Macaca mulatta: one gene and its partners. The protein of the gene in region 1 interacts with the protein of each later gene in a pairwise test. Links are inferred from orthologs where the notes say so. Each region holds a gene or a part of one and is shown in the gene's direction. Other genes may lie near its edges.

What was found.
Region 2: the proteins of CREB3L1 (region 1) and MFSD5 interact in binary tests that used the Homo sapiens proteins (3 or more experiments, as listed by UniProt). The two-hybrid records come from large-scale screens. The link is inferred for Macaca mulatta from reciprocal best matches to the Homo sapiens genes CREB3L1 and SLC61A1.
Region 3: the proteins of CREB3L1 (region 1) and GPR25 interact in binary tests that used the Homo sapiens proteins (3 or more experiments, as listed by UniProt). The two-hybrid records come from large-scale screens. The link is inferred for Macaca mulatta from reciprocal best matches to the Homo sapiens genes CREB3L1 and GPR25.
Region 4: the proteins of CREB3L1 (region 1) and FAM3C interact in binary tests that used the Homo sapiens proteins (3 or more experiments, as listed by UniProt). The two-hybrid records come from large-scale screens. The link is inferred for Macaca mulatta from reciprocal best matches to the Homo sapiens genes CREB3L1 and FAM3C.
Region 5: the proteins of CREB3L1 (region 1) and PGAP2 interact in binary tests that used the Homo sapiens proteins (3 or more experiments, as listed by UniProt). The two-hybrid records come from large-scale screens. The link is inferred for Macaca mulatta from reciprocal best matches to the Homo sapiens genes CREB3L1 and PGAP2.
Region 6: the proteins of CREB3L1 (region 1) and TSPO interact in binary tests that used the Homo sapiens proteins (3 or more experiments, as listed by UniProt). The two-hybrid records come from large-scale screens. The link is inferred for Macaca mulatta from reciprocal best matches to the Homo sapiens genes CREB3L1 and TSPO.
Region 7: the proteins of CREB3L1 (region 1) and TMEM11 interact in binary tests that used the Homo sapiens proteins (3 or more experiments, as listed by UniProt). The two-hybrid records come from large-scale screens. The link is inferred for Macaca mulatta from reciprocal best matches to the Homo sapiens genes CREB3L1 and TMEM11.

What each region holds. Positions count from the first base shown.
Region 1 is NC_133419.1:19,310,179-19,314,237, reverse strand, and holds the start of CREB3L1 (cyclic AMP-responsive element-binding protein 3-like protein 1), read left to right. Parts: upstream 1-1,259; coding exon 1,260-1,452; intron 1,453-4,059.
Region 2 is NC_133416.1:60,393,560-60,397,573, forward strand, and holds MFSD5 (molybdate-anion transporter precursor), read left to right. Parts: upstream 1-1,282; 5' UTR 1,283-1,374; exon of another isoform or gene 1,375-1,405; coding exon of another isoform or gene 1,406-1,589; intron 1,590-1,924; coding exon of another isoform or gene 1,925-1,941; coding exon 1,942-3,294; 3' UTR 3,295-3,514; downstream 3,515-4,014. UniProt on the Homo sapiens protein: Mediates high-affinity intracellular uptake of the rare oligo-element molybdenum.
Region 3 is NC_133406.1:58,519,969-58,524,066, forward strand, and holds GPR25 (putative G-protein coupled receptor 25), read left to right. Parts: upstream 1-1,298; 5' UTR 1,299-2,254; coding exon 2,255-3,340; 3' UTR 3,341-4,022; downstream 4,023-4,098. UniProt on the Homo sapiens protein: Orphan receptor.
Region 4 is NC_133408.1:161,164,065-161,168,170, reverse strand, and holds the start of FAM3C (protein FAM3C), read left to right. Parts: upstream 1-1,306; 5' UTR 1,307-1,522; exon of another isoform or gene 1,523-1,559; intron 1,560-4,106. UniProt on the Homo sapiens protein: May be involved in retinal laminar formation. Promotes epithelial to mesenchymal transition.
Region 5 is NC_133419.1:71,992,386-71,996,632, reverse strand, and holds the start of PGAP2 (acyltransferase PGAP2), read left to right. Parts: upstream 1-1,447; 5' UTR 1,448-1,514; intron 1,515-3,381; exon of another isoform or gene 3,382-3,543; intron 3,544-4,113; exon of another isoform or gene 4,114-4,132; coding exon of another isoform or gene 4,133-4,142; coding exon 4,143-4,247.
Region 6 is NC_133415.1:8,322,557-8,326,777, reverse strand, and holds the start of TSPO (translocator protein), read left to right. Parts: upstream 1-1,421; 5' UTR 1,422-1,492; intron 1,493-1,815; exon of another isoform or gene 1,816-2,111; intron 2,112-3,689; exon of another isoform or gene 3,690-4,221. UniProt on the Homo sapiens protein: Can bind protoporphyrin IX and may play a role in the transport of porphyrins and heme. Promotes the transport of cholesterol across mitochondrial membranes and may play a role in lipid metabolism, but its precise physiological role is controversial.
Region 7 is NC_133421.1:22,102,750-22,106,973, reverse strand, and holds the start of TMEM11 (transmembrane protein 11, mitochondrial), read left to right. Parts: upstream 1-1,424; 5' UTR 1,425-1,449; coding exon 1,450-1,511; intron 1,512-4,224. UniProt on the Homo sapiens protein: Plays a role in mitochondrial morphogenesis.

The sequences.
Region 1 (4,059 bases):
TTTTGAGGCGGAGTTTCACTCTTGCTGCCCAGGCTGGAGTGCAATGGCACAATCTCGGCTCACCACAACCTCCGCCTCCCAGGTTCAAGCAATTCTCCTGCTTCAGCCTCCTTAGTAGCTGGGATTATACGCATGTGCCACCAGGCCCAGCTAATTTTGTATTTTTAGTAGAGATGGGGTTTCTCCATGTTGGTCAGGCTGGTCTCGAACTCCCGACCTCAGGCGATCCACCCCCACTCGGCCTCCCAAAGTGCTGGGATTACAGGCGTGAGCCACTGCGCCCGGCCTGACTTTTTTGTTTCTAAGAAATATATGTTACATCATTACCAAGTACACACATGTGCGAGCACGCACACACACATAACTGATTTGTTTTTAAATTACCAGGTATTTAACTCCACTGTGTGCTGTGCACTCTGATATTTTCTACCCTTTTTTTTTTTCTGTTTTATTTTTACTTAAAATTCTGGTCGTGACCCACTAAATTGATTTCACAACCCATTAATGAGTCACCACCCACAGTTTAAACAGCACTGAGTCATAGCTGGAAGGATGGAGGCCACCATTCGAACCTAAGTAGTAGGGCTCCAGAGCCTAACCTCTCTGTATAAAGGATGGCTTGGGAAAGGACAGAGCCCCTGAAGTCTCGAGGACAGATGGGGACTGTGCTGCTGAGGGGACTGGAGGCTTCAAGAATGCCACCACCCTGCATCACTCTCTTCCCACATTCCAGCAAAAGAGCACACAAAATTCACTAATATTGCCTTTGGAAAAGAAACTTGTTGGCGTAGACACACGGTTATTCTCTTACTTTGTCCTCACATCAGCCTATGAAGGAAGTAAGAAGGACTGAGAAACTGACTCACGCAGTTTAAGTCATTTGACCAAGGTCACAGAGCCCAGTGTCCTGTTGCCAGGTCCTGGGACTTTTTGACCCCATCCACAGCTCACCCTTGCAGATAACGATGGTGAGGGTGGAGCTGGTGGTAGAGAGAATGGGATGACAGTGGTAATGGTCGTGATGGAAATGATGAGAGTTGGTGTTATGATGTTGGTAGTGGGGAGGTTGGTGATGTTGCTGGTATTAATGGGAATGGGCACAGTAATGGGAGGTCGCAGTGACAACGGTGGCCGTGGTGGGTGCCGCACCACCACAGTAGCACCTGCACCCCCTCCCCAAGCAAAGCTGAATTCCCTCTTCCCCTCACCTTCTCCTTCCCTAGCACTTTCCTGAGCACCTGGACCACTTCACGGAGAACATGGAGGACTTCTCCAACGACCTGTTCAGCAGTTTCTTTGATGACCCTGTGCTGGATGAGAAGAGCCCTCTATTGGACATGGAACTGGACTCCCCTACGCCAGGCATCCAGGCGGAGCACAGCTACTCCCTGAGCGGCGACTCAGCGCCCCAGAGCCCCCTCGTGCCCATCAAGATGGAGGACACCACCCAAGGTAAGAGGTGGAAGAACCTGGAGACAGCACAGGCCCAGAAGGCCCAGGAGGGAGGAAGCTCTGGGGTGACAAGAGAGTATGCCTGCAGCCTGAGACTCCCAGAGGCTCCAAGAGGAGCCACCACAAACCCCTCAGGAGGTGCTGCTCCCTGCCTTTCTGTTCTCCCTCAATTCAAAGCCAGAGCAGCACTTCTCAAAAGGGTTATTTTTGTTGACTTAAGTTAGTGGTTCACAAAGTGTGGTTCCCAGACCAGCAGCATCACCTGGGAATCTGTTAGAAATGCAGATTCTCGGGTTCCACCAAACCTGCTGAATCACAACCCTGTGGGTAGGGCCCAGCCTTCCAGGTGATTCTGATGCACACTCAGGTTTGCAAACTGCTGACTTAGAGGAGACAGGGGTAATTCAACAATGACTATGGGGCTGGGCATGGTGGCTCACACTTGTAATCCCAGCACATTGGGAGGCCGAGGCAGGTGATCACCTGAGGTCAGGAGTTCAAGACCAGCCTGGCCAATACATGGTGAAACCCCATCTCTACTAAGAAAATACAAAAACTAGCTGGGCACGGGGGCGGGTGCCTGTAATCCCAGCTACTTGGGAGGCTAAGGCAGGAGAATTGCTTGAACCCAGGAGGCGGAGGTTGCCATGAGCCAGCCAAGATCGTGCCATTGCACTCTAGCCTGGGTGACAAGAGTGAAACCCCATCTCAAAAAAAAAAATAAATAAAAGAAAAATTATCCAGGTGTGGTGGTGCGCTCCTGTAATCCCGGCTACTTAAGAGACTGAGGCATGAGAACTGCTTGAACCCGGGTGGAGGAGGTGTAGTGAGCGGAGTTCGCACTACTGCATTCCAGCCTGGGCAACAGAGTGGGACTCCTTCTCAAAACATAGTAACAATAATAATAATAACTCGCTGGGTGCAGTTGCTCATGCCTGTAATCCCAGCACTCTGGGAGGCCGAGGTGGGTGGATCACCTGAGGTGAGGAGTTCAAGACCAGCCTGGCGAACATGGTAAAACCCCGTCTCTACAAAAATACAAAATTTACCCCAGCATGATGCCCTCCATCACATGGTGACTCTATTACACACTGCCTGTAATCCCAGCTACTTGGAAGGCTGAGGCAGGAGAATCACTTGAACCCAGGAGGCGGAGATTGCAGTGAGCTGAGATTGCACCATTGCACTCCAGCCCTGGCAACAGAGTGAGACTCCATCTCAAAAAAAAAAAAAAAAAAAAAAAGGCCGGGCGTGGTGGCTCACGCCTGTAATCCCAGCACTTTGGGAGGGCGAGGTGGGCGGATCACAAGGTCAGGAGATCGAGACCATGGTGAAACCCCGTCTCTACTAAAAATAGAAAAAATTAGCCGGGCGCAGGGGCAGGCGCCTGTAGTCCCAGCTACTCGGGAGGCTGAGGCAGGAGAATGGCGTGAACCCGGGAGGCGGAGCTTGCAGTGAGCCGAGATTGCACCACTGCACTCCAGCCTGGGCGACAGAGCAAGACTCCGTCTCAAAAAAAAAAAAAAAAAAAAAAAAGACTGGGTGTGGTGGCTCACGCCTGTAATCCCAGCACTTTCAGAGGCTGAGGTGGGTGGATCATTTGAGGTCAGGAGTTCCAGGCCAGCCTGGTCAACATGGTGAAACCCCGTCTCTACTAAAAATACAAAAATTAGCTGGGCGTGGTGGCGGGCACCTGTAATCCCAGCTACTCCAGAGGATGAGACAGGAGAATCACTTGAACGCAGGAGGCAGAGGTTGCAGTGAGTCGAGATCAAGCCACTGTACTCCAGCCTGGGTGACAGAGCGAGACTCTTGTCTCAATAATAATAATAATACCATCCTGACTAACACAGTGAAACCCTGTCTCTACTAAAAATACAAAAAAAGAAAAAAAAAATTAACCAGGTGTGGTGGTAGGTGCCTGTAATCCCAGCTACTCAGGCGGCTGAGGCAGGAGAATGGTATGAACCCGGGAGGCGGAGCCTGCCGTGAGCTGAGATCGCACCACTGCACTCCAGCCTGGGCAACAGAGCGAGACTTTGTCTCAAAATAATAACAACAATAATAATAATAAGCTGTAGACAAGACTCTAGAACTTCACTGCCTCCTCATACTTGATGTCCTCTGAGACGCTATTTGGGAGAGATTCCTGTACCCTCTTTTATTCCTGAAGGTAGCATTCTCTAAAGCTCCCTTCTCCCCCTAACTCCATCCTTTAAGGCAAAGAGCACCCTGAGTTCTTCCACTCAGGTAATCAGCATTCAAGACCCACATTGTGCCCCACTTAGAAATGGCCCCTTTGGGCATTTCCTCAAATACCGGTGGTTTCAAATCCTGGCTCTGTCGCTTTTGGCTGGGTGATCACAGACATGCCGCTTAACCTCTGCAATCCTCAGTATCTATATCTACAAATGCAAATAACAATAAACATTTCTATAGCACTATCCAGTCTACAGATTGCCTTCATGTTAATTATCACATTTATTTCTCATGACTGACAGGTGAGGTTGTAATCACGTTCATCATAATCCCCATGTGACCGATAAGAAAACTGAGACTTAGCCAGGTGCAATGGCTCATGCCCGTAATCCCAGCACTTTGGGAGGC
Region 2 (4,014 bases), on another chromosome or scaffold:
TTTTTGTGAGACAGAGTCTCGCTCTGTCACCCAGGCTGGAGTGCAGTGTCGTGAACTTGGCTCACGGCAACCTTTGCCTCCCGGGTTCAAGTGATTCTCCTGCTTCAGCCTCCTGAGTAGGTGGGATTACAGGTTTCCACCACCATGCCTGGCTAATTTTTCTATTTTTTTAGTAGAGACAGGGTTTCACCATATTGGCCAGGCTGATCTTGAACTCCTGACCTCAAGTGATCGACCTGCCTCGGCCTCCTAAACTGCTGGGATTACAGGTATGAGCCACCAGGCCCAGCCAAGATCAGGTGACATTTGAACAGAGAACTGGAGGAGGTGATGGGGGAATCACGTGGATATTTTGGAGAAGAATTGTACAGGGAACAGTGTGCAAAGGCCCTGGTGGTAACCAATATAGATGGAGTAGGAGGGAGAGTAGCAGGGGATGAAGTCAGAGGAGTGGCAGAAGGTCAGAGGACAGAGGGTCTTGTAGACCATTATAAAGATTTCGGCTTTTACCCTTAGTGAGATGGGAAGTCATTGGAGGCTCTTGAGGAGATAATACGGAAGCTGTAGAGAGGTTAAATAGCTTTTCCAAGGTAAAACAGCTTGAGTGGCAGAAGGTAGGGAGTTAAGCGCCAAGGCTGAAGTTCTTAACCCTATGCTGCATTTGGGCATTGCTCTCCTGTGACTTCAAAGAAACTGGGACACTGGGAAGTTATGCGGCTTGCCTAAGGCCACACAGCTGGTAAGTGACAGGGGCGGGATTGCGCCTTAATCTGTCTGCAGCCCGACTCCAAGTTCTTTACACCACACCGCCTCCCTCAGGTGTCTGGACCATACTGGCTTCTCTTGCATGGAGGTCACTGAAGTGGGAGAGGAGGCAAACTGAGGAGACCGTCTCGGCTTCGGGCGGCGGTGCTGTTCCTTAGGAAGCTCCAGCCCTTGGCTCTACCGGACTGCGGGCATCTTTCCCGAGCAAGGCACGGAAGAAAAGAAAATTGGCCTTTATTTCGGGGTGGCCCAGCAGGCATCCAAGAGCCAGAGGAGCAGGTGTCACGGGAGAGCGGCGAGCAAGGCCAGGCCAGGAGGAGCAACCGCAGCCGCCCACGGTCGTCCCTTCCTGACCCACCCCAGGTGTCCGGAGTTCCGCGCCCGGGTAGGGGAAGGAGGGCGGACGGGGCGGGGTTTTGGCGCCGCGCCCCCGTCACGTGACGAAGCCATCATGGCGGCGGCCAGAGGCCTGCCCGGCTCCCGGAAGCAGGCTGTGAGGGGCGGGAGCGCTGCTGGAACCCGAGCTGGAGCCGCAGCCACAGCGGGGAGGGTGGCCGGGCGGCCTGGAGCCGGACGTGTCCGGGGTGTCCCCGCAGACCGGGACAGCAGGTGAGACGGAGTCTGGGCGAGGTGCAAGCGGATGTGGCATCGCTGGGCAGGGGCTAGGGGGCGCAGTGGGGCGCCAGTGACCTGGAGGAGTGGGCATCTGAGATGCACACGCATGACCCTGAAACAACTCGAGAGGCCTGCGCGGGTGGGAGGGATGCCCGGGACAGAGGATGAGACACTGAGGGCAAAAAGGGGCTCCCCAGCGAGGATGGGAGGTAATAGAAGGACGAGTGCGGGAGGTGCTGTGGGAAAGGGCAGTAGAATTTGGGGGACCGGGATTATTGGAAGGGACTCCCTCTTTACAGGCAAGGATGGGGTGAGTGCTCAGTCCTCTCCCCTGTCCTCTTACCCCTCCCTGCCCCACAGTGTCCTAGGAGACAGCTCTGGCGGGGCCACTCTTCCCACCCACCCAACTGGTCCCTCCGGTCTGAGATCTTGGGGAGTGGAGTTGACGGGGTTGGGTGGAGCTGCCTTCTGCTTAAGACAGTCGGCCCCTTGACCGTGCTGCCCGAAGGATGGATATGACTCTGACCCCCACCTCTCTTCCCAGGTCGTCGGGGGCCCACCATGCTGGTGACTGCCTACCTTGCTTTTGTAGGCCTCCTGGCCTCCTGCCTGGGGCTGGAACTGTCAAGGTGCCGGGCTAAGCCCCCTGGAAGGGCCTGCAGCAATCCCTCCTTCCTTCGGTTTCAACTGGACTTCTATCAAGTCTACTTCCTGGCCCTGGCAGCTGACTGGCTCCAGGCCCCCTACCTCTATAAACTCTACCAGCATTACTACTTCCTGGAAGGTCAAATTGCCATCCTGTATGTCTGTGGCCTTGCCTCTACAGTCCTCTTTGGCCTGGTGGCCTCCTCCCTTGTGGATTGGCTGGGTCGCAAGAATTCTTGTGTGCTCTTCTCTCTCACTTACTCACTATGCTGCTTAACCAAACTCTCTCAAGACTACTTTGTGCTGCTAGTGGGCCGAGCACTTGGTGGGCTGTCTACAGCCCTGCTCTTCTCAGCCTTCGAGGCCTGGTACATCCATGAGCACGTGGAACGGCATGACTTCCCTGCCGAGTGGATCCCAGCTACCTTTGCTCGAGCTGCCTTCTGGAACCATGTGCTGGCTGTAGTGGCAGGTGTGACAGCTGAGGCTGTAGCAAGCTGGATAGGGCTGGGGCCTGTAGCGCCCTTTGTGGCTGCCATCCCTCTCCTGGCTCTGGCAGGGGCCTTGGCCCTTCGAAACTGGGGGGAGAACTATGACCGGCAGCGTGCCTTCTCAAGGACCTGTGCTGGAGGCCTGCGCTGCCTCCTTTCGGACCGCCGCGTGCTGCTGTTGGGCACCATACAAGCTCTATTTGAGAGTGTCATCTTCATCTTTGTCTTCCTCTGGACACCTGTGCTGGACCCACATGGCGCCCCTCTGGGCATTGTCTTCTCCAGCTTCATGGCAGCCAGCCTGCTTGGCTCTTCCCTGTACCGTATTGCCACCTCCAAGAGGTACCACCTTCAGCCCATGCACCTGCTGTCCCTTGCTGTGCTCATCGTCGTCTTCTCTCTCTTCATGTTGACTTTCTCTACCAGTCCAGGCCAGGAGAGTCCAGTGGAGTCCTTCATAGCCTTTCTACTTATTGAGTTGGCTTGTGGACTATACTTTCCCAGCATGAGCTTCCTACGGAGAAAGGTGATCCCTGAGACAGAGCAGGCTGGTGTACTCAACTGGTTCCGGGTACCTCTGCACTTACTGGCTTGCCTAGGGCTCCTTGTCCTCCATGACAGTGATAGAAAAACAGGTACTCGGAACATGTTCAGCATTTGCTCTGCTGTCATGGTGATGGCTCTGCTGGCGGTGGTGGGACTCTTCACCGTGGTAAGGCATGATGCTGAGCTGCGGGTACCCTCACCTACTGAGGAGCCCTATGCCCCTGAGCTGTAACCCCATGCCAGGACAGGATAGCTGGGACAGACTCTTGAATTCCAGCTATCCAGGATTGTACAGATCTCTCTGTGACTGACTTTGTGACTCTGTCCTGTGGTTTCTCCTGCCACTGCTTTGTGTTTGGGAGGACATGATGGGGGTGATGGACTGGAAAGAAGGTGCCAAAAGTTCCCTCTGTGTTACTCCCATTTAGAAAATAAACACTTTTAAATGATCATTGATTTGATTTACTCATCCTTACCTGTAGCCTTCTCAGTGGTTTCTGGCGAGTGGGCAGCTAGAGGTTTTTTGTTTTTTGTTTTTTCATTTTTTTATTTTTTGAGACGGAGTCTTGCTCTGTCGCCCAAGCTGGAGTGCAATGGTGCAATCTTGGCTCACTGCAACCTCCGCCTCCCAGGTTCAAGTGATTCTCCTGCTTCAGCCTCCCAAGTAGCTGGGATTACATGTGCCTGCTACCATGCCCAGCTAATTTTTTTTTTTTTTTAGTAGAGATGGGGTTTCACCGTGTTGACCAGGCTGATCTTGAACTCCTGATTTCAGGTGATCCACCCACCTCGGCATCCCAAAATGTTGGGATTACAGGCGTGAACCACCACGCCAGGCCCAGCTAGAGGTTTTGAGGTGGGATTATCAGCAAAAGTTTTCTATTTCTAACCTCTCCAAGGCTGTCTCCAGTTCAGACTGAGAACTATGGAACTGTTCTCAGCAGAGCTGTGT
Region 3 (4,098 bases), on another chromosome or scaffold:
ACTGCGCCCGGCCTCTAAGACCATTTTCCAAATCCTTCCTGGGGATCTCCGTGTGCTAGAGGGACCCCAAGTGAGGGTGACCTTATGTCCCAGTTTGCCCAAAATAGTCCTGGTTTATGGCCCAGGTTAATTCTCATAGTGCCCCTTTCACTCTCAGAAACATCCTGATTTAGATGATAAATTATTTCATGACTACCTCAAACCAACATCAAACTGAACACATACGCACATGCGCCTCACTGTTCTTGGCAGTTAAGGGGACAGTGTCCATATGGTCCCTAAGCGGAGAAACCCCAGGCTTATCTTTGACTCTTCTTTGTGAGACCTATGATGCTACAATTACCTCCTGAATACATCCTCTCCTTTCTGTTCCCACTGCTCATGATCTATTTCAGACACAAATAATTACAACCTACGGTGGGGTCTCCCTGGCTTGAGTCTCTCCCTTCTCCACAGTTCTGCCAGTGATCTTTTCAAAACACAGATTAATGCCTCCTGACTCCCCATGACCTATAGATTGAAATCCAAATCCCTTCATGATTCCTCCTGCTTCATCTCCTGTCCCCACTTTCCTACCCTAGGCTCTGGGAGACTGCTTGTCCCCTGAAAAGCCCACATTCCTACTCATTTCAGTATACTTGTTCCCTTCACTCCCTCCTCCGAGTCTGACCCTTTCTTCTCTTTTCTGCTGCTCTTATTTGACTTTCAGCTCATTCCTGGGACTGATCTCAAGTGTCATCTCCTAGAAGGCCTTTTCTGATTTAGCTTTCCCGTCAAAAATAATCACTCCCCCTCCACTAAACCCTAAGAGGGCTTGGCTTTTAACATTTACTACAATTTGGACTCCCGGCATGTCGGCCATTGCACATTCTGCTTATGTAACCATCTCTCCTGCCTATGCAATAAACTGCTAAGGCCAAGAATGGCATCTCTCGCAGTGCCTGAAACAGTGCCTGCTTCATGGAGGAGTTCATTGTTAACAAGTCTGAATCGAACAAAATTGATAATCCACCTCAAATTTTCCACACCAGGTTGCCCGGCACATCAGCCACTCATTCCTGGGGACACTGGGGACAGACTCAGAGGGCACTGTGACATCAGTTCCACCACAATATCTTGTGGAAGGGATATCTGCTAAGAAGAATTCAGATGTAATTGGCTGCATGCCTCCTTCAGGAGGAAGAGCAAGCATTCCCTCCCCCATCCTCTCCTCCTAAGGGCCCACCGCCCACTCAGGGTCAGACTTCATTCCCCCTCTTCTTTAGGTATCCTCCCCTTACTCTCAGTTTCTCATTTCACAAAGGATCTTGCTGCCTCCAAGCTCCTGACTCATAATTTAGGACAACTAATCTGGTGTTTCATTAGGTGTCATCTTTTGAACTGAGCTTACATCTGCGTCTGGCTTAATAGATAGCTTTTTTAGGCTGGGAGAAGACAGGGAAGAGGCAGATGTGAATCCCAGGCTTGGCCCCTGTCCAGCAGGATGATCTGACTACACCCCTTCCTAGATGCCTTAAAACCCTTCCACTCCGCTTCATGAGGACCTGTTTGGGTCAGAGAAGCCACTCACAGGGTGAAGACACAAACCCCACATTTCAGGATGCTAACAACGGTTTGAGTGCCCAGGGCGGGCTCCCCGACCCACCCAGATCTGCTGTGTCCCGGCAGTGGACTCTTTCCTAGGGAACAGGTGGATTTGGGGGGGGGGGGCGTGCCTTAGGCCCCATACTCATAAAATCCCCTGTCTTCTCCCCTCTAAAACAGAGAAAACAGCAGCCGGTGGGTGCAGGTGGGAAGGGGTGAGGTGGAGGCTGAGAAGAGATTAGGGCTCTCTGGCACCCACCACCTCTTGCAACACGACCCTGAGGCAGTGGGGCAAGTATCCCGATTTCACGAACAAAGAAACTGAGCAACTAATAGAGGAATGGGCCACGCTCCTACTGGGAGGCGGGGCAGGTCTCCCAGCCCTGAGGACTTTTCCTCCCAAGACTTAGTTGTGAAGCCCCTTTTGCCTATCCCAGCCCTTACCCCTCGGGTCAGCCCCAAATCGGAGGCCACCATCTCTCCCACAGGAGCCTGCCCCTCCCACCCCATCCCCTCCTCCCTCCTGTCTTTCCTGCCCACCCATTTGCTCGAGCTGGGGTGGCAGGAAGGGAGGTGCACGACACGGGCATGAAGAGCAAACCCCCTCCTGCTCAGAGCTGCTGCCGCCTGAGCCCAGGGCTGCACCCAGCGCAGGCCTCGTGGCCAGGCCATGGACCCCACAGAGCCCTGGAGTCCCAGCCCGGGGTCAGGGGCCTGGGACTACTCGGGATTGGACGACCTGGAGGAGCTGGAGCTGTGTCCGGCCGGGGACCTGCCCTACGGCTATGTCTACATACCTGCACTCTACCTGGCGGCCTTCGCCATGGGCCTGCTGGGCAACGCCTTCGTGGTGTGGCTGCTGGCCAGGCGGCGCGGCCCACGGCGGCTAGTGGACACCTTCGTGCTGCACTTGGCGGCCGCTGACCTGGGCTTAGTGCTCACACTGCCGCTGTGGGCCGCGGCGGCGGCGCTAGACGGCCGCTGGCCGTTCGGCGAGGGCCTCTGCAAGCTCAGCAGCTTCGCGCTGGCGGGCACGCGCTGCGCGGGCGCACTGCTGCTGGCTGGCATGAGCATGGACCGCTACCTGGCCGTGGTGAAGCTGCTCGAGGCGCGGCCCTTGCGCACCCCGCGCTGCGCGCTGGCCTCGTGCTGCGGCGTCTGGGCCGTGGCGCTGCTGGCTGGCCTGCCCTCCCTGGTCTACCGGGGGCTGCAACCCCTGCCTGGGGGCCACGGCAGCCAGTGCGGGGAGGAGCCCTCCCACACCTTCCAGGGCCTCAGCTTGCTGCTGCTGCTGCTGACCTTCGTGTTGCCCCTGGTCGTCACCCTCTTCTGCTACTGCCGCATCTCGCGCCGCCTGCGCCGGCCGCCGCACGTGGGTCGGGTCCGGAGGAACTCGCTGCGCATCATCTTCGCCATCGAGAGCACGTTCGTGGGCTCCTGGCTGCCCTTCAGCGCCCTGCGGGCCGTCTTCCACCTGGCGCGTCTGGGGGCCCTGCCGCTGCCGTGCCCCCTGCTGCTGGCGCTGCGCTGGGGCCTCACCATCGCCACCTGCCTGGCCTTCGTCAACAGCTGCGCCAACCCGCTCATCTACCTCCTGCTGGACCGCTCATTCCGAGCCCGGGCGCTGGACGCGGCCTGCGGGCGCACCGGCCGCCTGGCGCGAAGGATCAGCTCGGCCTCCTCGCTCTCCAGGGACGACAGTTCCGTGTTCCGTTGCCGGGCCCAGGCCGCGAACACTGCCTCGGCCCCCTGGTAGCTGCCCCGGGCCGCTGGAGGTGGGCGACAGCGGAGCACCGAGAGGAGGGGAGAAGTCCCGGGAGGGGACCCAGATGCGCCTGTTCTGGCGGCAGCAAGCTGCTCCGGCCGGCATCGCATTGCCTCGCGCGCTGCCTGGACTCCCAGGGTCTCCTCCATCAGCTTCCCCGGAACCTCAGAGCAATTGAACTCCCCTAAACCAGGCTCCTGAGACTAGCTGTTCCCTGTCAGCCTGCAGGGTACAAGATAAGTGCTATGAGATGGAGCAGACAGCAACTCGGAGACCCGCAGATTCACCAAGAAGACAGAAGGGAAGGGGATTTCCTTCTCTGCCTCATTGGGAAGAGCACTGACCAGAAATCGAACCCAGACCCCTAAATGCCATTCTGGTTTCTGGCTGTGCTTTCTCCCGTCTCCCACAATAGCTTTTGCTTTCAGAGAAATACCTTCTCCAAGTCAGGCCCTCTGCCCTTCTCACTCACAAAACCCTGGTGTTGAATCTGGTGACACTTCTCCCCCTACGAAGCGGTAGGACTCACCTGGAAGTTGTTCTGGTCTTTCCCTCTCAACAGAAGGTCCTGAAATCGCTCACCAGGCGTTTCTTAAGGTCTCCACCACTCAGCCAGGAACCTCAAAATCTTCTCTGTGAATTCATCTTTCTCAATAAACAGACACTCCTGCTAGCCCTGTCTTCACAGTCGTCTTTGCTTGCGCAGTGGGAGTGAAATGCGTATCAGGAGGCGGGTCGCACACTGGGTG
Region 4 (4,106 bases), on another chromosome or scaffold:
GGGTTCTAAGCTATATCTTATGGTCAGTGGAGAATAGGCTACTAACACATTAGACTTTACGCACAGGAATTGTTTCAGGTGTGGTACTATAAGAATATGTCACATGGAATTTCCAATCTGGTTGGCTTGATTACAGAGCAAATTGCTCTTTGAGAAATACACCTTGGACTCCCTACTCAAGAGGCTTCATAAATTCTTTCAGTGAGACGTAGCAGTCTAGGAGAGGCATGTGTAGAATAAGTGTTATGGTTTTTAGGTACTATAATAAGCAAAGTGCCTTTTTGTTTGTTTGGAGCTGCATGAAGCTAGGCTGGAATTCCAGCTTCATAATTTACTACCTTGTATTTTTGAGCAAGATATTTAAACTCAATTTTGGAGTCTTAGTTTTTTGATTTAAGTAATACACAAATAGCATAATATTGGTGCAAGGAAAACAATGAGAATTCATTTCATGCTTTCTCCCCTGACCACAGATACAAACTCCAGAATTCATAGTTATTGTTAGTGTGTTTTATATTTTTGGAGGAAAGCCAAAATTTGGTAGAATATCAATTCTATATTAACGCACTATAGTCAAACTCTACTGTTAAATACAATTTAATTTCTGCAACCACTGATGATCCCAATATTCTATCAAATAATATATAATATTCATTATTTTAGAATATGGATCTGAATTATGAAATAATTTTGCATTCTCGGGTCTTGTATAGTAAGATTTGAATTAACTTCCCAATTATCAACACAATTGTGGGAAAATGTCCTGAGAAAAAACATTTCTAACTATTGTGTAGTCATAATTTTAAAAATAAACGTGACTTGGAAAATGCAAGAACTACTTTTCTTCTTGCGTGGTGCATTAAAGGTGATCAGAATTCTAACGACGCTGGACAGTAGGATTTTCAGAATCAGTTTCCTAGGATTCAAGAAGTCAAACGGCAAACAACCCAAGGTCCTTGGTGGATCTGACCATCTCAGGTATCTCAAGATATCTAAGATGACCTAGCTGGCGCATCTCTGAGATGGGTGGGTCATTTAAAATGTTCTGCTCTTGAGGCTGAGATTTTGTGCGTGTGAATGGTGGGGAGAAAGCAGTGACACATTTTTCTTCCTCTCGTAGTGCCACCCGGCGCAGGGCTACCGCCGCGGCAGCTCCCACGTGGCAAGTTCAGATTGTGCAGCGCCGGGCCGGGGGCGGCGGGCGGGACCGCAGACCCCTCCCTCCGCTCTCCGGCGCTTCCCTCCGGCAGGCCCGGCCGCCCACTTGGTCCTCCACCGCCAGGGGGCGGGCGCGGCTTCCAGGCGGCGGGGGCCCATTGGTCGCGGCGGGGAAGCGTGGGAGGAGGCCCAGCGGCGAGCTGGCTTTCTCCTGGTCACTCGCGGGGGTGAGGGGCAGCAGGAGGAGTCCGAGAGGAAGCGGAGTCGCGAGCTGGAGGCGGCGGTTCCCGTCGGCCTCCGGCAGGACTGAGTGCTGGGAGGCCGGAAGGCGGGCGCGTACGGCGGAGAGGCGGGAGGGAGGCCGGTGAGACGGCTGGGAAGCGAACGGAGCCGGGGCTCAGGTTCGGGGAGGGATGGAGGAGGGCGGGGGAGGGGGACGCCCACCTACGTCCTCAGCCTCCGCGCACTCTGCGGTCGCCGGCCGGGGGCGGGCCCCGGGGCCCGGCCGCGTCGTCACGGCGTGTCCGGCTGTTGGGGAGGGCGCAGGCGGGACCGGGGTCCCGAAGAGCCGCTGGCCGGGGTTCTCCGCCGCCGCCCCGGCATGGGCATCCCCGGGCTCCGCGGAGACGGGGCGGCGTCTGCACCTGGCGCTGGCTCTGGGCGCCCCGGCCTGGGGCGGGCACCTGGGTCGCGTCTTCCCCGGGTTGGCGGTGGCTCAAGCCCCCTGCAGCGTGTAGGCTGAGAGCTCCGAGAGGCGGAGACGGAGTTGAGTGTTGCATTTCAACTCCGTAGGGGGCCGTTTTGACTCACTTGTAAAGTTTTAGTGTCCCCTATACTAGAGGTACTTTTGGTTTTTTACAACCTATCCAGCCCTTTGATGTTCGTTGTCTTTTCTTTTTCTTCCCATTTGTTTGCTACTGCTCTCACAGCTCGGGACCACGGATGATTAGTGGCCCTAGATCTGAGTATGTGAGTGACGGACTGGCAATTTGAGATTGAGAGCTCCAGCTGTTTTGCTTGTGGGAGGGGCGGTTTCCATCATCCTCTACCTTTTTTTTTTTTTTTTAAGAAAAAATGTTATTGCCTATAATACAGAACTGCTGTCTAATTGATAGGACTTTTCCTTTGTTTCTTTTTGGCCAACATGGTGAAACCCCGTCTCTACTAAAAAATACAAAAATTAGCCAGGTGTATGTATCCATATATATGTATGTATCCAATATATATGTATGTATCCATATATATATGTATGTATCCATATATATGTATGTATCCATATATATGTATGTATCCATCCATATATGTATGTATCCATATAGATGTATCCATATATGTATGTATCCATATAGATGTATCCATATGTATGTATCCATATGTATGTATCCATATATGTATGTATCCATATATATGGATACAATGACATAAATAATATTAGATTGCCTACTGTGTACTAGGCACTGCCAAATGGTTTCATGTGCTCATTTATTCTCACAACAGCTCAGTGAATAAGTCCCTTTATCTTCCCCAGTTTTACAGATGGAAATATGAATTCCCAGAGTGTAAAGGTCGATGCTGATAGCAGAGGCCCAGACCCTTTGGACTTGTGGCCAACTTGCAGTTACATTTGTAACTTACAGAGTACCAGCAGATCTCCATTGAATTTAGAAAATAAAAGTTAATCACTTATTGAAAGCCATTTAACAAGAAATTGGCAGAATCAGCAAATCAGCATCCGGTTTTGGTCACTTCATTGACCTGTACCTCTTTCTGGAGGCTGCTAGTAGTCTCTTGTGTTTCTTGGCTGTTTACCAATTAAGTCACAAGGTTTTCAGTTTTATACAGGTGTTAGAAGCTTTGTTTCACAGATTCTTGTAATGTTTTCTCAGCTCAATAAAGACTAGCATTTCTTCATAGGAAGAAATAGGAAGAGTTGGAACCAATAAAAGGAGTTCAGTCCAGCGATTCTCAACCTGAGATTGAGTCCAGCGATTCTCAATCTGAATTACCAATGGGAACTTTGTAAGAAGGACATAGGACAGGTTTCTCAAAATCCTCATTGTAAGGGGCTTCTGTTTCAAAAGGGAGTAAAAATAAGATACTACTGGCTTAAAGTGACTTTAAAAATAAACTTAATGGATGTTTTGTTACAATTACAAAGTTTTAATATGGATTGCTGCCTTAAGCATTGCCAACTAATCTTTCATAATTTATGAAGATACATTAAAAAGGAAAAGGAAATTGGAAAACAGATTCAAAAGGCTAAGAGGCTATGGAATGGCAAAAAGTAATGTTCCCTGTGGGGGTATCGTAAGACTCATATATTTTTCACCATATATTTTAGGTTTTAAATGATTCATCTCATTTTTCAAAAATTTTTATACTCTTAAAAATATTGGAGTGCCTACCATGTGCCAGTAATTATAGATATCATGGATACTCTGAATAAGACAGCCTGGGCACTCACAAAGCTACTTTATTTTTTCTGAGGGAGTTTATGTTGTTTTTTGTTTTTTGTTTTTCACAGTTTTATACCCATTTCTTAAAGCTGAAAGGTACAAGACCCAAATAGCAAAAGATTTTTATGTTAGCTCTGAGCTAGATAGATTTTTGTGAGACCTTGATACAGTAGAAAAGTTTGTCTTGAATTTAGTCCAGAAGCATCTCTGTTATTGGGACCAGATGATCAGGATTTGAAGCATTGGTTCTGTATTTAGTTATTTCAAGAGTGGCATTGACTAAATTACCTAATATCATGCAGTACTTTATTAATCTGATTGAGTAGACTGAACCAGGTAATTTCCCCAAATCTTTAAAGTTTTAAAAGATTTTGTACTTTCTTTTAATGCAATTTGAGACACAATCAGCTGTCTTCCTCTCGGAGGAGGAAATTATGTGTTGTAATACCCCTACGCCTCTCCGGTGTACCCATTAATATTCTTTCATTTTCT
Region 5 (4,247 bases), about 53 Mb from region 1:
GGCAAAACCCCATCTCTACTAAAAACTACAAAAATTAGCCGGGCGCGGTAGCAGGCGCCTGTAATCCCAGCTACTCGGGAGGCTGAGGCAGGAGAATCGCTTGAACCCTGGAGGCGGAGGATGCGGTGAGCCGAGATCGTATCTATTTTCACAGGTTTGTTTTTTGTTGTTGTTGTTGTTGTTTTAGACGGAGTTTCGCTCTTGTCGCCCAGGCTTGAGTGCAGTGGCGCGATCTCGGCTCCCTGCAACCTCCGCCTCCCGGGTTCAGGTTCAAGCGATTCTCCTGCCTCACCCTCCCAAGTAGCTGGGATTACAGGCGCCCGCCACCGCGCCCGGCTAATTTTTGTATTTTCAGTAGAGACGGGGTTTCGCCATGTTGGCCAGGCTGGTGTCAAACCCCTGACCCTAGGTGATCCGCCCGCCTCGGCCTCCTAAAGTGCTGGGATTACAGGCGTGAGCCACCCGGCCCTCACAGGGGTTTTATGAGGATTAAATAAATGAGATAACATAAAAAGTAAGAGTGCCTGGGACATACTGCGTGCTCAGAATGTGTTATTGCTAAGGATTTAAGTGGAAAAGTGCGATGTTAGCTGTGACTAGCTTAGAGGTCCTCCACCCGCTGCAGATGCTCTGACTACCCCCGTGCCCTTGCAGGAGAGATGCTTGGTCTCTTCACCCTCCTTTCCCGTTGGGGTAGATGGTCTTTGCAAAGGGAGCCAGGGGTCCCCCTCAAGTTCTTTTATGGGTCAGTCATGGTCAGGGTAGGGAGGGAACTCTGGCAGTTGGTTTTTGGGGATCAGTCCTCTCATTGTGGAGAGACCTAAGGCTGGTGGCCGGAGATCCTCTTTCTGCGCTGTACACAGGACAGGGCGCCCTCTCCTGAACAAAGGCGGGAACAGCACTAGGCCAGACTTTCTGGGATGTGCCTTACCGGCTCTCATTGCCTGCAAAGGTGCTATGACCATTGCTGAAATGTCCCCAACCATCCTGGCGAGCAAAGTTTGGGGGAGGGGCGCTAAGGCTGGGAGGAAACTGGCTTAATGTTTCAGAAGGGCGAGGCTGGATTATTCGGTTAGAATGGAGGTGCGGGGCAGGAGAGACGGGCGGATGAGAAAGAAATCCGGCCCCTGTTGAATTAATTTTGTGTTCTTTCAACAGGTGATGGAACGCAGCTGAGCGGTAAGGCGACAAGGTGGCTTATCTAACATGCTAAACTCAGGTATCCAGAGCTCTTACGGCTGCCCGCACGCAGCCGAAATTAATGGGGGCAGTCCCGGGCTATAAAGCATAGTTTGAGGATACACCAGATTGAGGGGCAGAGCCACGGGTCGGGGTCTCCAGAAGCGGGGAGGAGCCACCGGAGGATCTAGGCGCAGTTTCCTCTCTAAGTTCCGCCCCGAGAGCGCCGGCCCCGCCCCCGCCGTTCGCGCTCTGACCAGCCCGCAGAGTCAGCCCCCGACCCCGGGCCGCCCGGGCCCCAGGGTTCCGCCGGCAATCTGGCCACCACCGCGTGGGTGAGTATGGGCATGGGTGTGCTGGGCTGCCGGGCAGCCCCACTCAGGGGAGCTTGGCCGCGCGGTCCGGCCTCTGCAGGGCCGGGCCCCACGCTCTGGGAGTCCTGGTGCCTGCCCTGCTATCGCACACACTCTGTTTCCCAGGAACTGCTGCTGTCTGGACTTGCCGAGCTGGCCCCCTTCTTCTCCCTCCCCAGCATGGGGCCGGGTGTGCAGGGGTTGAGCTTTCCCTTCTTTATTCCACGGGGCCTCCTGGTCAGGAGCCCTAGGTGGGGAGGATGGGGCCCCAGGGTTGGAACCCCATAGACTAGTTTTGAATGGCAGCTCTGCCATTTATTAGCCTTGGCCTTGAGTGTTTTGAACCTCCCTGAGCCTCAGTTTCCTCATCTGTAAAATGGAAATATACAGGCTGTAGCACCTACCTCATAGAATTATGGTGAGGATTAAAAGAGACAATGTGTATCAAGTACAGAGCAGGGAGCCTAGTATTCCGTAGGCACTCAGTAAATGTGGGTTCAGACTCCAGGCTGAGAACATCTCTAGGGACTTTGGAGCTGAGGTAGCTCCAAAGAAAGCGATTTTCAGCTAAGTAGTACCTGTGAGGAATGTAGAGCTGTCTGCAGACTGAACAATTGCCCTTCAGCTCCACCGTGAGGTGTGGAGTAGAATGACCAAGTTGAAGGACCTTAGAGGTAATCTAAACCCTGTGATTCCCATGTTGCCGAACTGTGGAAACAGATCTAGAGTGGTTAAGTGGCTTGCCAAAGGTCACACAGCTAAATGGGAGGCCAGGCATACCTCCAAGAATTGGAATGGACTGTCCCTTGAACCTCCTCATCAACTCCTGATTTGGGCAGTGCCTCTTCATTCCCTGAAGATCTAGTTTTCAATTTGGGAATCCTAGTGGTTCCTCAGAGATCTAGAGCTGCAAGCTTCAGGGATGGATGTTGGGAGGGAAGACTAGTGCTACTGCAACTTCAGAGTCTAGTTTTGGGCTGAGTGAGGAAGATGTTCCCCATCTAGGGCCTTAAGGGACTCAGAGTCCATTTAGGGATGATCCAGGGAATTTTTTTTTTTTTTTTTTTTTTTTTTTTCTGGGAGGGTCACCAGAGCCACTTCCAGCTCCCTGGGGAGATCCCTGATGCTCCTAAAAGGGAGATAGGAACTTGAGCAATTGGAGCAGGCTGCCTGATCAGGCCTGGCAGCTGGGGGAAAATGGGTGAGGATGTGGAGGCGTAGCCACCTGGCTCGTTCTGTAATGCTAGGATGCCAACCTAACTGAGATCAAGGTTCTTTTTGAGGGTGGGACTAAAGGGAGAGTCTTGTGGGTGGGGCCCGGAAGAGTTGGGACTTGATTTGACAAGGCCTTTGAGCCCAGAAGGGTATATTCGTTATGTGTCTGGAGCCAGCCCTAGCTTGGCAACAAGCAGCCAGCGTTCCAGGGATGGCTTCTCTCCAACTCAGCATAGGGCTTTGAGGAAGAACCTTTCTCTCTCTCTGAGTATCTTGGTTTCTCTATCTTTACAGTGGGAATAGGGCTAACTGCCTCATCTATGTAGAATTTGGTTTTTCCTTTTTTTCCTCCTGTGAACAGGCGCCTCTTCTGCCTCTCTCACTCCAGTCCTAACCTGACCTTTCTGTCTCAAGCTCAGACCCAGAGAGGAAGGGGTCAAGGAAGGCCAGAGTTGCAGTGTGTAACTCTTTGTGGGTCCCACATGTATCTGTTATGTGATCCTGAGAAGATTCCTGCCCCAACTTTCCCTTCTGTACACTGTGGGGAGCTGAGCTAGGATTGTTGGTATACACTTATTTGTTATAGTTCCTGACCTTAGCTACCCTTATCTAAGGGGGAAATCACAGTCCCCAGGAACCCTCATCTGTTCACAGGAGGGTGGTGTGGACAGCCCCCTGGGCACTGGGGAGCCTCCAGAAGCTGACCAAGCAGCTCTCTCCAGCAAACAGCAAGCCCAGGCTAGCACCAGACCTGATTCTGCAAAGCCTTTCATTCTCGGGGCACGTGAGAGAGCAGGTTGGGACAAGCAGAGGGCTCGGGGTTCTGTCCGCTTCCATGGAATCCCTGCCGCTGTGGACTGCGGTGCAGGCACACAGAGCACACAGAGCCTGGGAAGGGACTGAAGGTGCGGGAGGGCCCTGGGCCAGTGGGGAAGCAATGAGAGCTGATGAGAGGCCTTGAAGCCTGGAGGCTGGGCCTGAGGCTCAAAGGCCTGGGGGAGGAGATGGGCCATTCCATCCACTGGTAGGTTTTAGGGTTGGTTCTTGAAATAAGTAGAGACACTTAAAGCAACTTCTCTAGTCCTAGGCCTGTCAAGCTAGGCAGAGAGGAGTGAGGAGAAGCTCTCCCAATCCATTCAAGCTTTATCCTAGCACAGATTTGGTTCATTGTCTTCCCGCTGAAATTGAGGTGGAATGTTGTCTTTCAATTCTGAGTCAGTCTTCCTCATCCAGGGCAGGAGCTATCCAAGTTTAGGCAACTTCCTTCTCATACTCCCCACCCCATGGCACACAGCTAATTTTAGGACTGAGCACAAGGGCTGACTTCATCACTGAGTCCCAGCCTTGCTGCCTGGGGCCCTGACAGCATGCCACTCCATCCCCAGGTCTGACAAGATGTACCAGGTCCCACTGCCACTGGATCGGGATGGGACCCTGGTACGGCTCCGCTTCACCGTGGTGGCCCTGGTCACAGTCTGCTGTCCACTTGTCGCCTTCCTC
Region 6 (4,221 bases), on another chromosome or scaffold:
CACCTCAGGTCAGGAGTTCAAGACCAGCCTGGCCAACATGGTGAAACCCCATCTCTACTAAAAATACAAAAATTAGCCGGGCGTGGTGGCAGGTGCCTGTAATCCCAGCTGCTGGGAGGTTGAGGGAGGAGAAAATCACTTGAACCCAGGAGGCAGAAGTCGCAGTGAGCCGGAATTGTGCCATTGCACTCTAGCCTGGGAGACAAGAGCGAAACTCCGTCTCAAAAAAAAAAGAAAGAAAGGAAGGAGGGAGGGAGGGAGGGAGGGAGAGAGGAAGGAAGGAAGGAAGGAAGGAAGGAAGGAAGGAAGGAAGGAAGGAAGGAAGGAAGGAAGGAAAAGAAACCCAGAAGAAAAAGATGAATGATGAATGGAACCAAGCCTGGGTTATCCTTGTCTTTAGGCCAACACAGTCAAAAATAGATTATATATGTTTGTCTTTTAATAGAGGAAGAGGCTTACAAAGGCAACAATGCCAGGTCCTAGGAAAGCCATAGTACAGCCTGGCTGGAAGGAGGCTCCCAGCCTCTGTGTCTGGGTAGAAGTAGCCACTGTTCTCCTTGGCCCCTGCAGGATCAGTTTGGCCCAATGTGGCTGGTGCAGGCTGAGGGGTGTTGCCAGTCTGAGTTGGCCGGAGGGAGCTGGGACAGCCTTGGGCTGCAGCAAGACAGCCACAGTGCCAAGGGCCTGGGGCTTGACACGCCCTGCATGGGAGTGGACCTGGGCAGCTGGAGGCCACCTCTGGACTGTGATGATGGCAGCCTCTCCCCTCACTGAGCGCCGAGCATCTGAGGGGTGTCCTGCCTGCATCACCGCCTTGTGGCTTCATCAGTCCCACGAGTTTGTGCCCATTTTACAGATGAGGAGATGGAGACCCAGATAACCAGTCAGAAAGTGGTCGGGCCAGGACTAAGAGTGCAGCGCGCAGTCTCCGTGCCCTGGATCAACAGCTCAAGGAACTGGGGTGCTCCGGAAATGGGGCCAAGGCTGCTGAGCAGGAGGACGCTCAGGGCCTTGCCCTCAGGAAAGGCAATCCCCCACTCGGAGATCGGTCTTGTTGCCGCATTTTATAGATGGGAAAATGAGACTAGAAGAAACCACAAGCGACCCGCCGGCGGACACACGGCAACGTTTTAGGTGCTGGGTCTGGCCGGGCGGCCATCACCGGTCACCGTGGGGAGGAGAAGGAGCCGAGAGACTCGCTCGCGGCCGGGGGGAGGCAGAAGCGCGTCCCGCGGGAGAGGTGGGTTTGAGGAGTGAGCTCCCGGTCCCGCGGGGATGCCAGTGGGTCCAGGGCCCGGGCTGCCAGGCGGGGCGGGGCGGAGCGGGGCGGGGCTCGGCCGGGTAGTGGGGCGGGGCCGGGCGGTGGATTGACGGGCGGGGCCTGGTGGCGGGGCGGGGCCGGGCGGCTGAGAGGGGCGGGGCGGATGCGGGCACAGCGGTCTGGCTAACTCCTGCCAGGCAGTGCCCTTCCCGGAGCGTGCCCTCGCCGCTGGTGAGTGAGAACGGGACGCGGAGGGGGCAGCGGGAAATGGGGGCCCGCACGGCTGCGACTCTGACAGCGCCGCGGGACAGAGGGAAACTGAGGCCGGAGCCGAGGACTGGACACCCGAGGGGGCGGCCCGGGGCAGCACTTGGGGCTCGGCTATCGGGTCAGGGGCGGAGGCGGCGGGCAGCCAGGTCTGGACCTCCGCGGCCGGGGTTCCTGCGCGGGCCGCCTCCGACTGGGGGTTCGGGAGGGGAAACTTGGGCAACTCCGCCACGCCCTGCCCCTGCTTCTCCTGCAGGAAGCGCGGTCGCAGGAGAGGCCGATGCTCCCTCTCCCGCCCATTCCGCGGATGGGCAATCCCAGGCGGAGCTCCCTTCAGGGTCTCAGAATGTCTGGGAGACCTCAGGCAGGATCCTGATCCCCCAAGACACCCCGTTTCATAGTGGAGGAGAACAGCCCAGATCGGGGAAGTTTTTTTTGCCCAAAGCCGGTTAGAGGCCCCCCGGCCCTCAATTCCCAGTGCGGGGCTCAGGTGCGCTGCAGCCTAGACGGGACTTACTCTGAGCCGAGCAGCCTCTGGGACCTGTCTGCTTCCCCTGCCCCTTGCAAAGAAGACGGAGCCCAGGTGGGAGAAGCGGGGGCTTCCTGCTGTGAACACACTGCTGGCCAGGGCAGCTTCCAGAGGCCATGGCCTGGCGTGGGCCTGGAGCCCCTCTGGCCAGCCTGCCAGGGGCCGGCGCTACGGAATACCAGCAGTGTGCCCTGGGCTGGATGGCAGGAGAGACAGGACTTGAGGCTGTCCCAGAATGGACTCAGGCAGGGCGAGGATATTAGGGGAGGTGGTGTACAGGAAGCAGTCGCCCAGCTCGCCTGGCACACAGCAAGCCCTGCCCATGAAGGCCTGCTGCCAGAACGTGGGCGAGGCCCGGCGTCTCTGTGGAGTCGGTGGGGCCCGAGACAGGGCAGCGTGAGGCAGGTTTCCACTGGCGGTGAAAGGGGCTGTGTAGCAAGGGCAGGAGAGCCAGCCTCAGCCCAGCAGGGGAAGGCGGCCCCTGAGTCTCCACCTGGCTGCTGGCAGCCCCATAGGGAGGCTCCGCGGGAATCCTGGGCTCCCAGGGGAGTGCTGGAAACTGGGGGAAACTGAGGCTTACCAAAGAAGCCTTTGTCCAGAGTCATGCAGCTGGCGTGGTGGAGCCAGGGCCTGATCCCAGCCTGCCTCCTCCACTGTGCCCCGAGGGCCACTTTGTTTCCTGGGAGTGTGTCTGTGCATGTGTGCACACACATGTGCTGTGTCCTGTCGTCTGTACAGACTTATGCCTGGCGTGAGGCACCATGTCTGGCTGGATCTACCAGAAAATATTCACAGCAGGTTCTCCAGGTGGGGTGAAGGGCTTGGGCTCACAGGGAGGGAGCCTACATTTACCTTTAGCTTTTTCAGTATTTCAGTTTTGAATCTCTGTTTTGTTTTGTTTCGTTTTTCTTTCTTTCTCTTTTTTTCCTTCTTTTTTTCTTTTTTTTTTTTTGTTTGAGACAGGGTCTTACTCTGGTAGGCAGGCTGGAGTGCAGTGATGCAATCATAGCTCACTGCAGTCTCCTGCAGAACTCCCGGGCTCAAGCGATCCTCCCACCTCAGCCTCCCAAAGTGCTGGGATTACAGGTGTGAGCCACCGTTTCTGGCTTATTTGTGTTTACTTTTGATTGGGCAAACAATGCGTGGATATGCTCTCTTTGTGTAAAACAGTAGTCTTTTTTATTTTATTTTCTTTTTAACCACTGGACCACTAGGGAAGTCATTCTTAATTTCTTCTTTACTTTTATTTATATGTATTTTTGGAGTCGGTGTCTCTCGCTCCATTGCCCAGGCTGGAGTGCAGTGGCTCGAGCTGGGCTCACTGCAACCTCTGCCTCCTGAGTTGAAGTGATTCTCCTGCCTCAGCCTGGCTAATATTTGTACTTTTAGTAGAGACGGGGTTTCACCATGTCGGCCAGGCTGTTTCTTTATCTTTCACTAAAAAAAAAGTTTAACCCCCGAACCTTGAAGGAAAGGAAATGAGTCTTTCTTAACAGAACCAATTCCCCCTGGACACCCACCCTCACCCTACCCTTTGCCAGGCCACTCGATGGCCAGGTTGGCTGTGGATTTTTCCAGACGTGTGGGCTGTTCCACTGGTTACTTTCGTAATGAAAAACGCACACAAAGTCAGGACGATTAGCCATGAGTCATTTTTTAAAAGCCTGAAAACAAGTCTCTGGGACAATGGTGGCTTCATTGGAGAGACAAGGCTCAGGGGAGCTGGGTGCAGCTGGGGGTGGTGGTGGGGATCAGAGAAGGGACACATTCCTTATTCTGTTCCTGGATCGCCTTCTTTTTTTAGTTAGTTAAGTTGTGCTTTTTGTTTGTTCAGTTTTTTTCTTTTTTTTTTTTGAGAGGGAGTCTCGCTCTGTTGCCCAGGTTGGAGTGCAGGGGCGTAATCTCGGTTCACTGCAACCTCCACCTCTTGGGTTCAGTTGATTCTCCTGCCTTAGCCTTCTGAATAGCTGGGACTACAGGCGCCCGCCACCACACCTGGCTAATTTTTGTATTTTTAGCAGAGACAGGATTTCACCATGTTAGCCAGGCTGGTCTCGAACTCCTGACCTGAGGTGATCTGCCTGCCTCAGCCTCCCAAAGTGCTGAGATTACAGGTGTGAGCCACTGTGCCTGGCCTTCTGGGTCACCTATAGAGAGGTCTCCA
Region 7 (4,224 bases), on another chromosome or scaffold:
GGCAGATTTTTGCATTTGTTTTGCTCAAGTATTTATGGGGCCAACTAATATGTTTAGCAACGTTGTGTGTGGGAGCAGTAGAGGAACTGAGAAGTTTACAAACTGTAAGAGATCCCCCAAAGAGTCCACAGGTCTGAGGCAGCAGCACCTGGGAATCTCTGGGTTCCAGTTAGTCCTTCCTGACTGACTCGTTACAGCAGTGTCCAGACAAGGAGATGTCAGGTCCTGGGGCAGGGTTCCCGTCAGGTGGGATGGTTTAGCCCCGCATCTGCTTTCAAAGATCCCGAGATTGGCCGGGCGCGGTGGCTCAAGCCTGTAATCCCAGCACTTTGGGAGGCCGAGACGGGCGGATCACGAGGTCAGGAGATCGAGACCATCCTGGCTAACACGGTGAAACCCCGTCTCTACTAAAAATACAAGAAAATTAGCCGGGCGAGGTGGCGGGCGCCTGTAGTCCCAGCTACTCGGGAGGCTGAGGCAGGAGAATGGCGTGAACCCGGGGGGGCGGAGCTTGCAGTGAGCCGAGATCGGGCCACTGCACTCCAGCCTGGGGCACAGAGCAAGACTCCGTCTCAAAAAAAAAAAAAAAAAAAAAAAAAAGATCCCGAGATTATGCCGTCGCAGCGGACAGGACAAGAGTGGGTGCGTGGCAGGGACTGAGTCTGAGGCCTGGAGGCCCTGTCTGAAACAGGGCTGTCGCTGTCGCAGGGCCCTCTCTCCTTCAAGCAGTTATCATACAGCTATTCCCCTTCCTTGCGTTCAGACCCTCTCCTCTAACAGCCTGCACCTGCAAGCAGGGACCTCCGTGGCAGCCGGGACAGCGTGTCTGTCTCGGCCTCCCCAAAGTACCCCGGAGTCTGAATTGGGCGGGGGATGGTGCGGGAGCAGCGCCTGACTCCGAGGAGGACCCGGGCGGCGTCTCCCGCCCCTCGGTGACCTTATGGGCCAAGGCTGTGAAGAGCAGGCGGGGCGACGCGGAGGGGCCGGGCGCTAGAGGCCCGCAAACAGCGCGGCGGTCCCCGGCAGGAGACGCGGCCTGGCGGGCCGGGACGGCGGCGCCGGGCGCCTACGCGCGGTGCTCTGGGAGTTGTAGGCACTTTCCTCTTCTCTCTCCTTCAGCTGGCTGGCTCTCGAAACCCAAGGACCTACCGGTGGGTGGGCGCCTGTGACTCCCAGGCTGCGAACGCCGGGAACTCAGTTTCTTCAAAAATGTCTGAACCCAGGACTGCTCCTGGGGGTCCTCGCGCCCTCGCAGAAGGACTACGGGCCCCGGCGACCCCGGGGGCGGGGCTTCTGGCGCGCTGCCTTGTGGGCGCGGTAGTTCCGCCAGGCCCGGCTTCCGCCTGCCGAGCGTCCCGGGACAGCGGGCCGGACTACACTTCCCGTCGGCCCGCCTGCTCTCCCGATGCCGCCTTGGCGCGAGACGTTGGCAAGCGGAGTGTCTCCAAGATGGCCGCTTGGGGAAGGAGGCGTCTTGGCCCGGGCAGCAGTGGCGGCAGCGCCCGAGAGAGGTGAGATCCAAGGGCTTGTTGCCCACGGTGCAGGCGGCTCAGGGGCCGGAGAGCCCAGCGCGGCCTCCGGGGGCTGCAGCAGCCTTCCTGCCCTGGTATCCCCGGGCTCCCCCGACCCCCGCCTGGCATACGGGGTTCCAGTTCCGGAGGATCCGGGATCCGGGTAGGAGCGAGGTCGAAGGCTTCGGCGGAGAGCTTAGGGGAAGGGGCGTTAGCCGGGCTGGGTAAGGTGGGCAGCGGTCATGCGGGGTGGGGCTCGAGGCCGGGCCGTGCGGAGAGGAACTGGCGCCCAGCGCAGGCCTCAGGGACCCGCCTAGCCGCGGGCTGATCGGCACCCTTCCCGCTTGGCCGCGCGCGTGGCCATCTCGCCCGCGGCCCCCGACGTGGCGAGGAAGGCAGGGCCCCTGGAGAGAGAAAGAAGGTGAAGCCTTCACAGAGCAGGCCGGCTGCGGCAGGGGTAGTTTGATCTGCACGTTTACCAGGGAGCTTTAGCTCCCACCACATGTGTCTCTTCCGGGCCCGGAGCCGTCCACTTCCTCGAGGGGCGATTCTGGAGACTTTTGGATGGTTCTGTGCAAGCGCTCCTGCCGTGGAAGTCAATTAAAGTGACCTTTCCTAATGAATGGTGTGTGGGTAGGGAGCTAGGAGCGTGTTTCTTCCAACAGAGACCTCCATTTGAGTAACTGATTTCTAGAAGATGAGATTGGAGTAGTTTCCGTGTTACATGTTCAAGTTGCAGTTTTTGCTTCTGGGAAGCAGTTTCAGCTAGTGGAAGCCACTAGAAGCTGTTCAGCCGCTAGAAGTTTTGGGAGAGGATGTATATTGGTGGAGCCACCTGGATGAACTATCCGCTAAAGCTTGATTGTTAACAGCAGCGGTCAGCAAAAAAGGAAAGTTTTGGTTTTGCTGTTGTTGTTTTTTTCCCCGTCTCTTTGGTGAAGATTGTCTAACCAGAAAATTTCTCTGCCTGTCAACTACTCTGCATTATTCCTTTTCTATGACTGATTCCATCCCGTGTTCATTGCTATTGCTTGCAGATGGCTTTCCCAGCTGGGAAGATTCTTCCTGTTTGGCAGTTGTGATAGAGTCCGTTAGCTTGCTTGCACTTTATTCTTGAGCCCAGTTAGCCAACGTCGCCCATTCTGCATTTCCTCTTCCTTGGAAAAGCAGTGGTAAACACACTTTTGTTTTTTTAACTCCCGCCTGGTATTTCTTAGATTGGACCATTTAAATAAGTTACCTCAGTGGTTTTCAGATGCCCTTAAAAACTAGCAAACATTTTCAAGATATTCAATGCAAACAGTAATAGGAAATAACCTGTTTAGAAAACAAAGTTTTAGAAACGTTCGCCCTCTTGTTGGACTAAAAGCAACTGAAGAGAGCCTTATAGGGATGCCTCAGGCAGGGAACAGGAGCCTTGCCAGCACAGGTTAAGCTTTTATTGATCTAAGAAAATAGATCCTGAGAATTGTTTTTGCTTTGGCTTGAGACAAGTATTTATTCAAAATGGAGTTGGCAAATCAGCAGTGCATCAGCTGGAGCCAGTGCTTGACTGTTGAACCTCAACAGTTTTTAAGAGAATTTAAATTAGTTGCCAACAGATTTCACATAAAACGCTCCCTGAAAAGCTGGGTAGTGGCTGACTCTTTTTGGTTAGGACAGTGCTCTCCAGTTCTTGGTTCCTCACCTGACAGCTTGACTCAATCACCTGACAGCTTGACTCAATGCATTTACCTGCTTGGTCTCAGGTTGCACCTTTGGCCTGGAACTGAAGGCTCCACTCATACACGCAGATGTTGTGTGTCAGCAGGAATGTGGCATTTGGTTTTGTGGTTTGGATGTCACCATCAACTCTCCTAGATAATGTGGTGTGGGTGGAGACTACCTCTCTGTTTGCTTTTGCTGTAAACCCCTAGCCAGGTTCTGTAGGAAAAGTCATTTGCCCGAGCCCAGCTTCCCTAAGCTCTTTCCATGCTGAGCAGGGGATGGAAACATAACCCGCTGTGTGGCTAGCGAGCTGACTTCTGGGCATCCCTCCATTCCTGCTCAGTTGGTGATGACTGTTCAGGTGGGGCAGGGCGGATTAGCTGATGGCCCAGCACCCTAGATTAGGAGATCTGAGTGTATTATTGGCTCTTATGACTGAAGTAGGCTGTTTATGGCTCTCTTAAATGACTTTGTTCCATGTCACATTTGTGCTGACTCAAATCTCAGCTCCATATTGTACGAGTGCTCTCTCCCGTTGCTGCTCACACCTGGTTAGCATCCGCTTTTGCTGAAGCTGAGGGAAACAGTGTCTGGTTTGGACAAGGGGCTAGAACAGAGCGACGCTTTGGGCAAACTTGCCAGATTTGCCAGCGGCTACCAACTCTGAAGCACGCACTGTACTTAAAGGCCTCACCCAGTGCCAGATTGCCCACAGTATTACTGCCAGCGCTGTGTGTTGGATGGTCCAGCTTAGCGCGTGGTAGCGTGTGGGTTCTTGCTTTACCTTGTTGAGTCTAGAACCACAGCTCTAGAATTAGTGCTGAATTAACACAGCAGTTCAGTAGTCACCAGCCACATGTGGCGATTACATTTAAATTCATTAAAATGAAATAAAATGAAGAATTCAGCTCCTCAGTCTCACTAGCCACATTTCAAAGGCTCAATAGCCACTTCTGGCTCGTGGCTACCATATTGGACAGCACAGGTGGAGGACATTTCCATCACT